2 linked regions of the Astyanax mexicanus genome follow. Each later gene encodes a partner of the first gene's protein in a complex. Links are inferred from orthologs where the notes say so. Each region holds a gene or a part of one and is shown on either strand. Other genes may lie near its edges. The genes, in order: acadm and etfa.

What was found.
Region 2: the proteins of acadm (region 1) and etfa are in contact, whole or in part, in a crystal structure (PDB 2A1T), measured with the Homo sapiens proteins. The link is inferred for Astyanax mexicanus from reciprocal best matches to the Homo sapiens genes ACADM and ETFA. Residues at the interface, in NP_000007.1 of Homo sapiens: Pro163, Lys173, Pro211, Gln232, Arg235, Glu237, Val251, Glu253; in NP_000117.1 of Homo sapiens: Arg223, Lys226, Arg249, Asp253, Ala283, Ile284, Gln285, Glu304.

Annotation. Positions count from the first base shown.
Region 1 is NC_064425.1:41,681,711-41,689,751, forward strand, and holds the start of acadm (medium-chain specific acyl-CoA dehydrogenase, mitochondrial), read left to right. Parts: upstream 1-4,995; 5' UTR 4,996-5,106; coding exon 5,107-5,124; intron 5,125-6,718; coding exon 6,719-6,821; intron 6,822-6,921; coding exon 6,922-7,019; intron 7,020-7,238; coding exon 7,239-7,308; intron 7,309-7,871; coding exon 7,872-7,972; intron 7,973-8,041. Other genes in the region: E3 ubiquitin-protein ligase HECTD3, read right to left, coding at 1-23, 1,463-1,813. UniProt on the Homo sapiens protein: Medium-chain specific acyl-CoA dehydrogenase is one of the acyl-CoA dehydrogenases that catalyze the first step of mitochondrial fatty acid beta-oxidation, an aerobic process breaking down fatty acids into acetyl-CoA and allowing the production of energy from fats.
Region 2 is NC_064409.1:55,938,680-55,946,007, reverse strand, and holds the start of etfa (electron transfer flavoprotein subunit alpha, mitochondrial), read right to left. Parts: upstream 3,171-7,328; 5' UTR 3,085-3,170; coding exon 3,046-3,084; intron 1-3,045. UniProt on the Homo sapiens protein: Heterodimeric electron transfer flavoprotein that accepts electrons from several mitochondrial dehydrogenases, including acyl-CoA dehydrogenases, glutaryl-CoA and sarcosine dehydrogenase.

The sequences.
Region 1 (8,041 bases):
CTGCGGTACTCCTCCAGCTGCTCCTGAGGAACATACAGCAACAAGTGAACGAGAAGAAAACAGCAGAGGAATGAGGAACGTATATTGACTGAGGCTGTATCCCAATCGCAAACAATACACTAGTAATAAGAGGCACAAACTGATAGTAATAGTACAGGTTTGGCAGGTTAGTACATTAAATATCAATGTACCAACCTGGGGTGGGTTTTGAGTACATTTGAATATTGGGTAAATGAAAGTTGAGTAAATAAGAGTTGAGTAAATAAAAGTGGAGTAAATAGAAGTTTTATTAGATTTTGAGGTTTGAGTAAATAAAAAGTTAAGTAAATTAGTGGTGAGTAAATAAGAGTTGAGTAATTAGGAGTTTTGAATAGATTTTGAGGTTTGAGTAAATGAGAAGTTGAGTAAATTAGTTGTGAGTAAATAAGAGATGAGTTAATAGGAGTTGACTAAATAAGAGTACTGAGTAGATTTTGAGGATTGAAAAAATGACAGGGTGAGTTAATGAATGATAAGTAAAGGAAGGTTGAATAAATAAGAGTTTTGAGTTTATTTTGAGAATTGAGTAAATGAGAGTTGAGTAAATGAGAGTTGAGTAAGTAAGAGTTTTGAGTAGATTTTAAGGCTTGAGTACATAAGAATTGAGTAAATGAATGGTGAGTAAATAAGGACTGAGTAAATACGAGTTGAGTAAATAAGTGGTGAGTAAATAAGCACTGAGTAAATGAATGGTGAGTAAATAAAAGTCGAGCAAATAAGGGTTGATTAAGGAGGGAGTAAATGAGTGGTGAGTAAATAAAGTCGAGCAAATAAGGGTTGATTAAGGAGGGAGTAAATGAGTGGTGAGTAAATAAGCACTGAGTAAATGAATGGTGAGTAAATAAAAGTCGAGCAAATAAGGGTTGATTAAGGAGGGAGTAAATGAGTGGTGAGTAAATAAAGTCGAGCAAATAAGGGTTGATTAAGGAGGGAGTAAATGAGTGGTGAGTAAATAAGCACTGAGTAAATGAATGGTGAGTAAATAAAAGTCGAGCAAATAAGGGTTGATTAAGGAGGGAGTAAATGAGTGGTGAGTAAATAAGGACTGAGTAAATAAGAGTTAAGAAAATGAAAGTGGAGTAAATAAGAGTTTTGAGTAGATTTTATTAATTAAGTAAATGAGGGGTGAGTAAATAAAAGTTGAGGAAATAAGAGTTTGGAGTTTATTTTGAGAATTGAGTAAACGAGAGTCGAGTAAGTAAGAGTTTTAAGTAGATTTTAAGGGTTAAGTAAATTAGAATTGAGTAATTGAATGGTGAGTAAATAAGGACTGAGTAAATAAGAGTTGAGAAAATGAAAGTGGAGTAAATAAGAGTTTTGAGTAGATTTTATTGAAGTAAGTGGTGAGTAAATAAGGGTTGATTAAGGATTGAGTAAATGGGTAACTGAGTGGGTTCAGCTGCTGGTTCTGGTGGAGGTTTACCTTGCTGATTTTGACCCACAGGCCGTGGCTGTTGTAGTACTCCTCCCCGGAGGTTCGGATGCAGGTCCCCTTCTTGGGCTCGATGGTGCACCGGGCGGTCTTCCTGGTGGGCGGCTGGTTCGGGTGGTCCCAGACCGGAACCAGGGTCTTTCCTCCAGAGTTTCCAGCTGAAGAGGAGGCAGACGAGGACCCGGAGTTGCTGGACGAGTCCTTACAGATCTTATAGCACACCTCCCGCGGCACGAAGCACAGGCTCTCCGGGAGCGGCTCTCCGGTCCTGAAGCACTCGGTGCAGCGGTTCAGGAAGCGGATCCGCCCCAGCAGAGTGTGCGGGTTCTGCCCGGGAGACATGGCTCTCTCTCCGCTGCTGCTGCGCTTCGCTTTCGCTCCGCCAGCCCGAGTCTGGTAATGTCAACACGGAGTTAGAGATCAGTCAGAAAAGCGCTATTTATCCCTCCTTTCTCCTCTTTTCCTCCCCCTTTCTCTCCCCCGCTCTTCAGCGGGAATTCCAGAAACTTCTACCGAACAGAGGATCAGCGGAACCGCGGAAATCAGCGCTTATTCTCCCCCGGAACCGCGGAACATTCCAGGTAGCAGTTACTAAGCGTTAGCCCCACAGCTAGCATCTGTCACACCGGCTAACGAATCCCGATCCGACTCAGAGTCACCCGCGAATCGGCTTATCTAGACCGAGTCCTTAGAACAGAATCAGTGAGTGAATCGGAGCGATTCAGGTCATTTGTAAAATCAATGTAATTAAATAATCTGAGGAAATCTGTTGCCTTCATTTTTTTTAAAGTAATGTTATTTACAATTTAAACTATATTATAAACTTTAAAAACTATTTTATAAACCTGTAAACAAATTGTAAGTTAATACATATTTAAAGCAATGTAAATTATAATTAGTACTTAATTATAAACTTATTATGAACAATTTGTTAGTACATTTCTTTTTAAATTATAGTTAATTAAAGTAAATGAATGAAATTGATTTGTAATTAGTCAAGTTATTTTATTTAATATAAAAAAAACAAAATATCATTATTGGAATGTATAAAGTACTATAGAGCTAGACTTGAGTGAAAGTACAAGAGCTCTATATTAAAAAAAGTTTCATTGAATGGATAGTTGGTAAAGAATCGGTTCGTTTAACTGAACCCAACTCTTCTTCATTCACTGAAGTGAACCTGTAGGAGGAGCCTGCTACAAACCATTTCGGCCGGCAGGGGGCGCTGTAGGCGCTGGAGTGAGTGTGTGCTGACCTCTGCTGGTCATGTCTGTTACTGCAGCTACACCCCAACCTTACACAGCATATACACACTCGTACTGTACCTAAGGCTATGTTTACATTATCAGGCTGAAGTGACTCGAATCTGATTTTTTTGCTCAGTGTGGCTCAGATATGATTTTTTAATGGCTGTGTGAACGTGCCAAATCAGATTTGTTTTTTTAATCAGATTTGAGTCACTTTCATATGTGGTCCTAAACCGGATACGTATCGGATCCATGGACATGCGACATGAATGTGAACTGTCAATTCGGAATTCATGCATCTTTTTGCTTTATGCATTAGCATTAGCTCTACGTGCCTCTCTCTCGTACCCACACATCTCTTGAGCAGCTGTGCAGCTATAGCTGCAAAAACAGCAAAAGCAAACCACCTGATCTCTTTTTACCTCCTCGACATCAGATCAGCTGTTTACTCTCCACTCCAGCAAAAGATGTTTCACATATGAGCTGCTGACTCATCCATTTCCCTTTATAAAGCTAGGAAGCTCTCTCAAATATGATTTTTTTTTTTGTTGGTGGTGAAGAAGGCGACGTTTAAACAGGTATCAATTTGTGAATGTAAGCCGTTTCAGGGACAGCTTGTTCCCATTACACACAGATACTGATCACTTACATTTGTGAATGTGAACCGTCAGAATAGCCAAATCCGATCTGAGCAAAAGAAATCGGATTTGAGCAATGTGGCTTGTAATGTGAACGCAGCCTAAGACCCCTACATGAAAAACAGTGGGACCCCCCAAACCTACATGGACAGCAACTGATGGACAGGATGAAAAGTCTCATAAAATTAAAGTGAAGTATTTCTTACTTTACTTTGACTTTTATTTTAACCAAAAACAGTTGGGACACTAAAGCATTTACTTTACTTTACCTTGAAATGTTGCCATTTCTTCTCACAACAATTATATGATGTTTTGGCACTAATAACACTTAAAACTTTACTGTACACAACACAAGCCTTATTATGTTCACCATGACCTTTATCACCAACAACAAGCTCTACAATACAGAGTTACTATATTCACTAATACCACAGTGGAAAGTGTATTGTGCTCAAATGAGTCAGAATTGGAGTTTAAAAGGAGCTTCCAGACTGTTCTCAGCAACAAGTCCAAACGTCAGGGTCTGTTATTGCATGAGGGCGTATCAGTACACTTCTGTGATGCAACATTAAAGGTCCATTATTATTATAATATGAGTTAATGCACTTGCAGCTTTTGTCAGCAGAGCTTCACACAGTATTTTCTTATTTGAACTGTGTGGTATGTCACAGTGATCTATGGGGGATACCTCCTGAAACACTTCATCCCTTGCTATCCTTAGTGAATATAGTAACTCAGTAAAGAATATGTAAGAAACACTGCCTTTTTTATTATTTGCTTTTTCCATATGATTCCACAATTATGGATTTGGAGCTGTGAATCTTGAATCTTTATACATGTATAAAATGCTGCTTTACCTTTTTTACTAATGTGAATCACCAATGGTTACAAACATTTGTTGCATTTTTGTCATATTTTCTAAGATAGATGAGAAGATGAAGTGTGATATAAAGCTATCGCTTTCCTTTTTACATGGGAGAAGAACCTTTATTCAATTTTGGAGAGAACTAATGAAGAATCTGTTTCAAAATATCCATGTGTACCCATGAATATTCATAATTTTGAAAACAATTAATTTTATTCATATAAATTTAATGAAATTTTATGATTATGAATTGATGAACTGGTATTTCCTCATTTGTCTATTTATGAATAGTTTCATGGTTACCTGCATGTGTCAGTTGTTATAAAACTTGCCTAACTGCATTTTTGGTATTGTCCTAAAATACACAAGCTATTGTTTGTTGTCTATGGCCTTCCAATCAAAAATGACCCAGTATTATTATTATTAAAAAAGTAAAAGGTAAAAAGTAAAAAATATTTTCTTATATTCTAAAGGTTTACTCGTAAATACTCAATAATGAGCCTCACCCTCAAGCGCAGATATAATAGTCCTGCAGATTTGTCCATGTTAACACATGTAAAATTTCAGCACTATATAAATTATGTTTAATGTTTTAATTTAAATAACCTCTGAATTACACAACTATCAATGTAGGCCAGAATAAAACTGGGGCTAAGGTCACAGGGGGCGGAGCCGGATCAGAGCACGTGATCAAAGCCCCGTATTTGATTGGCTGGAAGTAAAGTAGTCGAAGAGAGCCGACGTCCCGGCACATGATCACGTGACAAACATCCTTGGCTGTGATTGGCTGTCTGCCTGGAGAGTCTTTTTGTAGGGCGAAGAGCACAGGACGCGACTCCCAAGGATCCGGATTTCTTATTACAATATAAACAAATACACAAAAAAATGCTGATTTTCAGAAAGGTAGAGTTTTATATATTTATTTCATTGCTTTTAAACAGATTCTGCAGCCTTTGCTTTGTGGTTAAGCTTAGTATAGTTTCGTTTCTACCGCCTTGTTTTTGCAAGAGTCCGTTCCACCTTAAATAGTGCAGCTGTTCTGGTCGAGTTTGGGGTTTATATTAAGGTGTTTTTGTGTTTAATTCGAATTATTGCAGATTTACGTCTGGTTTGTATTTCGTTATTGTCTTTAAAAATGGCTCACAACGATGAATAAACACATAGGTAGTCATATTACACTGTAAAGCAACATACGCCACAATGTGAGCACTCTATTTAAGGTGGACGGGAGAATGAGAGTAATAATGCTCGGTGTTTTGTTTAAATTGATGCACAGTTATTTATTATCTGTGAGTTATTGTTGTTATTAACCCATGAAAAAAACATAAATATTTCTGAATATGGATGCAAAATTCTAAATGAAATCAGATAAAATCATTGAGCTGCTCATGCACGTTTTTTAATTAATGTGGGCACATGACGGTATGTATTAAGTTAAAGTCCTTAACAACAATTTCAAATATATATATTTTTCAACATTCTGTTCTTCAAATCAGATCAGAACTGGTTACATGTTAAAATGTTTGAAACACAACTGTAGAATCAAAAATATACTTTTTAAAGGAGAGCTTAGTTATATCCTACAGCACTATCCCAACACATCTACATTCTGGAAATAAGGTCAGATAAACAAATACACACCCACACACTGTGCTGTGATGCTCTCAGGATGTTTAGTAGCCATATGTCGCTTAGGAACTTAATGACTCAAAGTGAAGGACAGGGTTAGACCTGTCACAGTAAGAATTTTTGTGTAGAAAAACATGATAAATTATTTACATTTGATGACTTGCACACCTCCGTTCTCCACTACACCGCTCCACACCTCTTTGTTAGAGCTCTGGCATTTAAAAGGAGGCTACTGATAATACAGTGAGGAGCAGCAGCAGGAGCTCCTCAGATAAAGTGCTGTTCTCATTTTTCTTCAGGCAGGACATCACTAGATGAGCTTTTGAATCAAGAGCTGAGCTAAGCTATGGTCACTCCAGTGTGTTAGCTTGTTATGCTAACTGGCTAGCATTAGCTAGTGAGCTGTATGTGCTTCTTTGGCTGTGTTTTTCTTCACAGAGCTGCATGTGAGGGACTGGGTTCTTTATTAGGCTGTAACAGAATTGCAGGATTAGTGTTGTAATAATACAGTCATTGAACTAGGGCTGCAGTGATGATGAGTTGGACTAATTGAAAATGTTAATTGAAAGAAAATAGGATTTTGTTTGAATTTCAGTGTCTACCACACAAATTGCTGTGGACAGAAACACATTGATGATTTGTTTAGGTAAATAATAATCGTTAATTAGTTAATTGATTGCAGAAATAACCTTCAGATTAGTCAGATACCAAAATGATTATTTGCAGACCTATGTTGAACTAAAATATGTTTTCTGGCGAACTCTGTGAGAGGAGTGACTCAATGTCTGAGTTTTTTGCAAACGTGATCTGGAATAAAACTATAGAGTGATTAATATTGAATTTTGTTGTATGTTCTGTGTGTGCGCAGGTTCTGCAGACAGGGGTTCAGACGGGTCTGCGGTTTCAGAGCAGTGGAGCTGCAGCTCGAGCGGCCAGTGCAGCGAAAACGTCACATGGAGGAATCTCCTTCGGTACGTGGACGGACTGCACAGCACGACTGGTCGACCCCTGTGAGTGTCTGTGTTTGGTAAATACAGTAGAATTAATTCTATTTTCTGTGATCATCAACAGAATTAACTGACCAGCAGAAGGAATTCCAGGAAACAGCCAGGAAGTTTGCACGAGAGGAGATCCTGCCGGTCGCTGGGGAGTACGACAAAAGTGGTGAAGTGAGTTTGTGAAATATGATCTTTGATTTTGTTTAGTTCCATTAAATGGGAGATGTAATGAAATGAAACGTTTTGGCCGAAACCAGACAAAATGAAAAAAAAAAATGGCCAAAACCTGAATACTAAATGATTTTCACTATTTTTTTAAGCTGTTTAGCTTTTATTAATATTCAAGTAGTAAATAATTCTGTGTTAATCCTCTCGTCTCCTCTGCTGCAGTATCCGGTTCCGCTAATCAGGAGGGCGTGGGAGCTCGGTCTGATCAACAGTCACATTCCTGAGGACTGCGGTACGTCTGTGTATATTGTAAATATGGTTTCTGTCCACTTTATCAGGCGACACCCTTTTTAACAGGCCTTTGCCTGTATACAGACTACAGGTGTAGATCCTATAAAACCCTTTTAAGCAGATTAAGCAGGTGTAAAAACAGTAATAGTACTCTGGTGTGGAACAAAACCACAGCAAAACTGCCAGAGGAGGAGGTCTTGGTCTGATCCCAAACGAACTCTGGAGAGGTTCGCTTGTGGTGAGAACAGAATCCGGTCTTGATCCGACGCAGCTATCAAATATACTCCTTTTATTTGAGCTAAACTGCTGATAAGGTGCAGTTTAATCTGATATATTAGCCAGATAATGTTAATTACCACAGCTATGAATAAGGACTGTCTTTGCTGCTCCATGCTGTTTACACTCGCAGTCTGTGCTGCATTCACTACTAAGTGCAGAGGCAAATTTTCAGGGTTCTGTATTAAAGCAGCTTCACACTGCACAGATATACCCGCTGGAACACAGAATCTAATAGAGCTCCAGATCAGTTCTGGTTGGTAACTGGTCATATGGTCTCTGTTTCAGGGGGACTGGGTCTGTCCAGTTTCGATGCTTGCCTGATCACAGAGGAGCTGGCCTACGGCTGCACAGGAGTCCAGACGGCTATTGAGGCCAACTCTCTGGGAGTAAGTGTTGAGTGTTTATCTGATCCGAGCTGCTCTGTTATTCTCCAGAATATTATTTAGCTGTAAAGA
Region 2 (7,328 bases), on another chromosome or scaffold:
AAGTGGTGGAACAGATTAGATGTATTAACATTACCGCTGCTGGTCGGCTGCACTCTCCGGCACAATTTGCAGCAAAGCGGCAAGGGAGCGGACCCGCGGCCGGTCTCGAGGACCCGCGGCCGAGCGAGCGGACCCGCGAGCGTTCCCGCGGCCGGCCTCGAGTACCCGCGGCCGGCCTCGAGGTTCCGGGGCCGACCGAATCGAGTCTACCTTAGCCTTGGATCCGCTCGTCCCGGCTCCGTTTGGCTCCAGCGCGAGACATATGTGCTGCGTAGCGAAGCGGACCCGAGCCTAGCCATTTTAACCTAGCCTTGCCTAGCCTAGCCTATTTGGCTACGTGCCTGTGTGGTTACGTCATCACGCACTGACGTAGCCCAGCTACGGGGGCTGAATGTGTTGAGCTCTGCGGCGAGATATCTGATAACTGATATCACCGTTATTGAAACATTTCTTATCGCGATAAATACCGATATCGAATTATTGTCCAGGCCTAATATGGATATTTAATTAATAGTTTACAAGCAAAGACTGGAGGCATGCAATGGTTTATTTAGTGTTGTGTTTAAACCCCGACCACTAGATAGCCGCGTTGTACTCAGTCTTTAGATGCCACTGTTATGATTACCTAAAAAGTTTTACATACTTTAAATTTAAATTAAATTGTGCAAATAAAAATTGCAGAAAATGTTCATCACCACAGAATTTAGGTACATTACCAACACCACAAATGTTTAGCTCTAATGTGTTGCTAGACTTGCACATACATGCTGACATGGCTGTTTTTGCTTGCACTGAAATAAAGCATTCACCTTGGCTTGTCACAATAACTACCAACAACTAACCAACAAGATTATTTTTACAAGCATTTTTGCTCATCTCAATTTTACCCATTATTTTTTATTCATTTATTTTTTTTTAGCAGGGAGAGACTATTAATGTGACTTAATATTTTAACATCAGACCAGCATAACACTATTGTATTAATCTTCTTTCATTAATTGTATTTTAACCTTTTTATAATTCATTTCTAATGTCTGAAAATATTATTAAATTATATATTTTTTATTGTTCATTATTGCTTATTTTTTATTAACAAAAGGTCATGTATTAGTGAAATAAGCCACAGTTGACCTGAGCACTTTTTTCACAAAAAAATTGGCTCACATAGCATTCATTCATACTAGAGACCGCAACTAGACATTTTAAAACGAATGAAAAAAACAATGGAATGAGAACTTTAACCAATACAATGCAATAAATACATCAATAAAAATGCAGCTAAACTGCCTAAGTCTTAAAGAAATACTGTAAAGCATATTTTGGTCATACAACAAAAACTGGGGTTGTTTTCAGAAATTTGATTAAAAAATTCTCATTATAAATATCATAACACCTCCATCATGATATGCACCAGATTCTTGCCAATAAACAGCTCCAATGATGGTAAACACATTTTCAGAAATAAACACAGATAACTCCAGCAGAATATTTGATTAGATAGCACATCTGTCTGCTTCTAGATCTATCAGCAGTTCAGACAGGTACAGTTCAATAGTTTGGGAATGTGCAAGCTAAACAAACAAAGAATTAGGTATGAGGGTGAGGCTGGAAAGTTGCACAACTATTACTAGCTAGCTTATCTAAAAGTTTATAATGTAATGTAATTACCATGATATTATTGGAAAGGCTGTAAACAGTGAACATTATCTGCCTCTACATGTAACTGTATATCTAGTCATGTCAATAAACACTGTATAGTAATTTCTGGCATATACTTTTACTTAATAAAAATGTAACAGAATTTAAATATGTCAGTTCACACTGCAACAAAAGCATATGGAATGGGTCAATAGAAACGCTAAAATAAAATAAAAAAACATCCAATAATTTTAACGATAACATTTTAAGAAAAAAAGCATTTTGATAGTGATAAGATAAGGAACCAAAAGTTGTGCTGACAGATCTTAAAACTGAATTTTGAGTAGCTGCACCTTAGAAGAACCCTTAACCTTTGCCCTGGTTTCACCAGTTTTGTTGAATTATCATTCACACTTTCAATTTCACAATTAATTTAGAAACCTCTCTTGCTTGTTAAAAGCAGAAGCCCTGTGTCACCAGTTCACTAAGTTACACTTAATAAAAACAGTGATTTAAATGTCCGTGATTTTTTTTTTCTTGTTGTATTGTACACGTAGTGTTTCTTTTATATTTATAATCATCTTATTTTGCTGTACTTGCTGTAACTTCAGGGAGGAGAGAATCCTAATCAATCCTCTCTATATCCTTTAAGTAAATATGCAGTGTTGACAATAAAACTACTTGCCTTGACTTGACGTTACCTCGTTTCAAAACAACAAACACAGATTTGTCCTTAGACACACGATGACAAAACGAGCTAAGAACAGTCACATATGGACAGGTAGGCCTTAATTATAATTAAAGAAACTTCAAAATACTTCTAATTATCTAACAGCGTCAGTGTGAGATTTCGTAACGTAAAATCTGTCAACTGCATAACCTTGAAACGAGGCTAACGGCTAACTCAGCTAATTTAGCCTAAAAACCAGCCAGCCTGTTAGCCAGTTAGCTAACCTAGCTAACGTAGAAGAACGAAACTAGCTAACGCTAGCTAGCTCACCTCTGCAGAGGACAGAAGTTAAAGAAACTGGTTGGTTACACTTTTACAGTTAGTAGCTAGCGGGCTAGTTAAGTTAGACAAATGCAGGTCCAGAGTAAAGGTGGGTAACCCAGGTCCAGAAAATCAAATCCATCCCAGGGTTTCTTACCAACTCTCTTGGTAACTCTCTACCAACGTTTTGATAAAGAAGCTGAGCTGCAGCAGAGCCACGCACGCAGTTGGTACAAAAGCCTGGGGTGGATTTTTACTTTTTGGACCTTGGTTACTCACCTCTAGTGAGCTAGTGAGCTACGTTAGCTTTATATTAATCTACATAATTCTTTGTATTTATGCATGTCTTCCTCCAAATTAACGCAAAGCGACTTGAGCGACCACTCTACTCTTTGTACAGAGTGTTTAATTCTTACCAGAGTCCTGAGGTTTGTCTTGTTGACAGCTTTGAGCATGATTACAGCAGCAGCAGCTCCTCCACTCTACTGCAGGACTGAACCGCAGAGCTCACAGGGCCGCGATATCGCGAGAGTTAACTCTGAGCTCCGAGACCCGGCCGCACCTCATATCCGCCGGAGAGGACCGCCCACCCGAGCTCAGTGCTGCTGCCGCCGCTGTACGAGTTCAGTGAGGATCAGCTGAAGACCGCGGAGCAGGTTTCCATCCAGCGGGGGATTTAGTTCCAGCGAATTACTGAATAACTGCAGTAAATCGATAAAGTGATCAGTTCAATGCTCTACAGAACAGTTCACCAGCTCCTTACTGCAGTCACGTTTTCTTTCATTTATACCTGCATTTAACATGAGAAGCGTTTTTAATGTATGATTTCTCCTTGATTAGACAAAGACACGTTTTCTCTTAGCTTAGGGTCTATGCCTAAACTTTCGCCTTTTTGAAATGTAGCTAACATGTTTTAATTAAGTTTCATCGAATACTTTTTTTGTGATTTTATTTAATGGTTCTGTCAAGTGTGCTTACTTAATAAATAATATTAATAGAACGGTGAATAGCTTATCTTTATTAAATAATAATGTAGTATGTAAACACTGTTACAGTATTTATAAGATTGTGACTTACCTTTCAACAGTGTGCGATATGTGAGGAAAAAAGATTTTTCTTCTTTTTTTCTTATTGTTCTTCTTGTTTCTTCTTCTTATTATTATTATTATTATTATTATTATTATTATTATTATTATTATTAATAATAATAATAAATAATGTTCAACTACCCACTTATTTTTCTCATGTAAAGTCAGTTGTGCACCTCTTTTTATATATACGTTTTTACAACAGTACCAGTTAAAGGTTTGGACACACTTCTTTTTTATGATTTTGTAAAATTTCAAGCTACACAGGAACACCATCGGAATTATTTTGTAAACAAAAAGAGTTAAATAATACAGAATATGTTTTATACTTTAGATTTTTGAGGACCGATCTGAACACTCTTGCACTGTAAAAAGTGAAGCATGGAGCTGTTCATTCAAGCTAATAAATATGATTGAACACATAGTACAATTATTGACTTTATTGTGAAACTCAACCTTTTTGAATTTTGATGTGTCAATTTTGATTCAGACTAAATTAATTACAATTCTGAAGGAAATAAACCAAATGTTTTGGTTCCACTGAAATCATACTCGAAGAAAAGAGATAAGGATGTAATATTTTTAATTTGAATCAAACATGAATTGCGCATGCGCACTGTGGAGCACGGGAGAAGTTGTAGAGAAGTGCTTCAGAGCACTGAGGGAGAGAGGGAGAAAGTGCCTGAACGCGCTCGCGAGAGAGAGAATGAGAGAGGGAGAAAGTGCCTGAACGCGCTCGCGAGAGAGAGAATGAGAGAGGGAGAAAGTGCCTGAACGCGCTCGCGAGAGAGAGAATGAGAGAGGGAGAAAGTGCCTGAACGCGCTCGCGAGATAGCAACGCATGCTTATGGTATTGTGGCGTCGGGACTGGAGGGGGGGCGGAAGGAATTATGGGAGCTCACCCTGTTGGGGGGAGTGGGTGTTTTTCTGCGTGTTTATGTTACTGTTTATCCCAGAGTTTCATGTCATGTTTTATTATCACTGTTCTAGTATTATTCATGTAGTTATCAGTTATGTGGTTGTTTTGTGTAAGTGCCTCACCCTTTGTGTGTTTTCTGTGTGTGGGAGTGGGGTTAGCTGCGTTGGAGCTGTAGTTAGTTTCACTTTCAAAAGTGGAATCCCATGTAAATCCAGCTCTTAGTGTCCTCCTCAGAGCAAAATAAAAAGAGCAAGAGAGCACTGAAACGAATCTCGCTGGTAAGCCGTCCTCTTCCACGCCACAGTAACTTCTGGAACTTCTGAATATGCTGCCATGTTTTTTTTAAAAGTTCGGATCAATTTAAATGTATTAGTTTGGTTCCGAAACTGAAATGTAAAGAATTTAACTTGGATCAAGGTGAATAATTAATATTGGGTCGAGTGAAGTAATATGGTTTATGTCAAAATAAAATAATCAGGTTGTAACAATTGACTTTATTTAGATTGAGTGAAGTCAAATAGTTTAGATGCAACAAATGGACATCAATTTTTTTAATTTGAGCAGGGCTACACTTTTTACAGTGTGGTTAATCTGTGTCTTCGTGATGTAGAGTCACCTGGAATAGTTTTCTCAGCATCTTAAAGGAATTCCTGGAGGTGCTGAACAATAGTTGCAGCATTTCCTTCACGCTGTGAAATTCCAGCTCATCACAAATCACCTCAAATCACCCATCTCAGTGGGGTTTAGGTCAGAGGATTGTGGAGGACAAACACTTTTTTGTTTTCAAAGTAATTCCATATGTGTCCCTTTATTGTTTTCAATATTTTAATAAGAATCTATAATATAGAAAATACATTGAATGAGGATGTGTACAAGTTGACTGGTACTATTTATATATTTCTTTAAATTCTAAATAAGCCTACAGCCATGAACACAGTTCTGGCTTAAGCATAACTGTTGTTTAGTAGCACAATTTAACATGTACAATAAGAAAAATAAATTGCATACATTTATTTTTCCTATGTTAAATACAAAAAATCAAAATATGTAATTTTTTCCACAAGATTGCAACTGCCTTTTACTTTTAGACCAGACTGTTTTGTTTCACTTTTTAAATATAGCAAATCAAAACAGAGCTCATAAAAAACAGTCTGTATAATTCTTAGATATAAAGAGAGATTGGGAGACTGTTTGGTAGTTGTACTCTAAATAGCTGTAGGTCTTTTAGCAAAAGGAAATAAATTCCTTTTATTTTTATATATATTTTTTTAGAAATATACCCCTTACATGACAGGGAATATCTCAGGAGTGTTTTTCTGACTCTCTACCTAAATTCCACGTTTTTTTTTTTTATTTTAATGCAAATGTTCAAAACGATTTAGTTACTTTTCTTTTTCATGGCAAGCCCATTTCCTCTGCTATTGATTTCCTCTGATTTATATTACATTACATTATATACATTCATATTAACTAATTATACACAACATCATATACTATTTCAAACGGAGAAGCGTGAAAGTGAATAATTGAAGAGCCTGATTGTAAAAGGTTGTTTTGATCTCAGGTTGTTGTGGGCTGAGCTTGTTTCGCGGTTCAGTACAGAGTCACACTATAAGCTCAGTCTTCAGAAACATTAGAGGTGAGAGTGCTGGAGATCTGAGCGGCTTTGATTGGATTTGAGAGGGCGGGGTGAGTTAGGCTTGTTTTAAAAGACATCTCTCTCCCACCCTCTGTTCCTCCCTCTCTCACTCACTCACTCATGCTCACACCCATACGCGGCAGTGGTCTTGTCCTCCACTTTCAGAAGAGATTTGTTAAGAGTAACATTCCGTTTTCGTTCCCTCGCTGGTTTGCCTCTTTTTTATCATTTGTAAAGGAGTAGTTTCAATTTTTTTAATATTTTGTATTTTTGGGTCTTTTCTCTTCTGATTGTTGACGAAAAAATAAAATAAAAGATCTGTACGTTTTTAGTTCAACATTTAAAGTTTTTGTCTTTTAAGCTTAGTGTTTTGCAGCGTCTCTAAATATTATTGACTATAGAACATACAAGATAGATAGATAGATAGATAGATAGATAGATAGATAGATAGATAGATAGATAGATAGATAGATAGATAGATAGATAGACAGACAGATAGATCATCTTAAAAAATACATATTTCAAAAAAAAATATGGCTCGTAATGGTTCTTTACGATTTAAAAGCTTTTTTAAACTTAACTTTTACAAGCATGGTTCATTATTGAGCCAAAAGTGATTATTCTATAGCATGTATCAAATCAAACCATTTGCAGCACATTTGCTTTGTTAGAAGACTTTTTATTTTATTGTAAGAATGCATAAAATCATTTTTTAGGCGACAAAATTTTATTTTATTTTTTGTATGTATCTTTTTTGTTTGTGTGTAAAAAAAAAAAGAAAGAAGATATTCTCTAATGTAATGAGACACGCTGTGGTGGAGATTATAGATGGGATTGATCTGAGTTAGGGTCGGTGTTAAAGGTCAGGTTGAAGAGCACGCTAAAGGAAGAGCGACCCTCTGCCCGTTCTGGAAACATCTTGAAAAAATAATCCGTACAAATAAATCAGGAAACTTAACTCAAACGCAGTTTCTTTACAAATCCCCACAGGTCCGCTTCTAATGTCCAAATAATTCATGTGTGGATTGTGGAGGAAATAATTGTACAAATAAT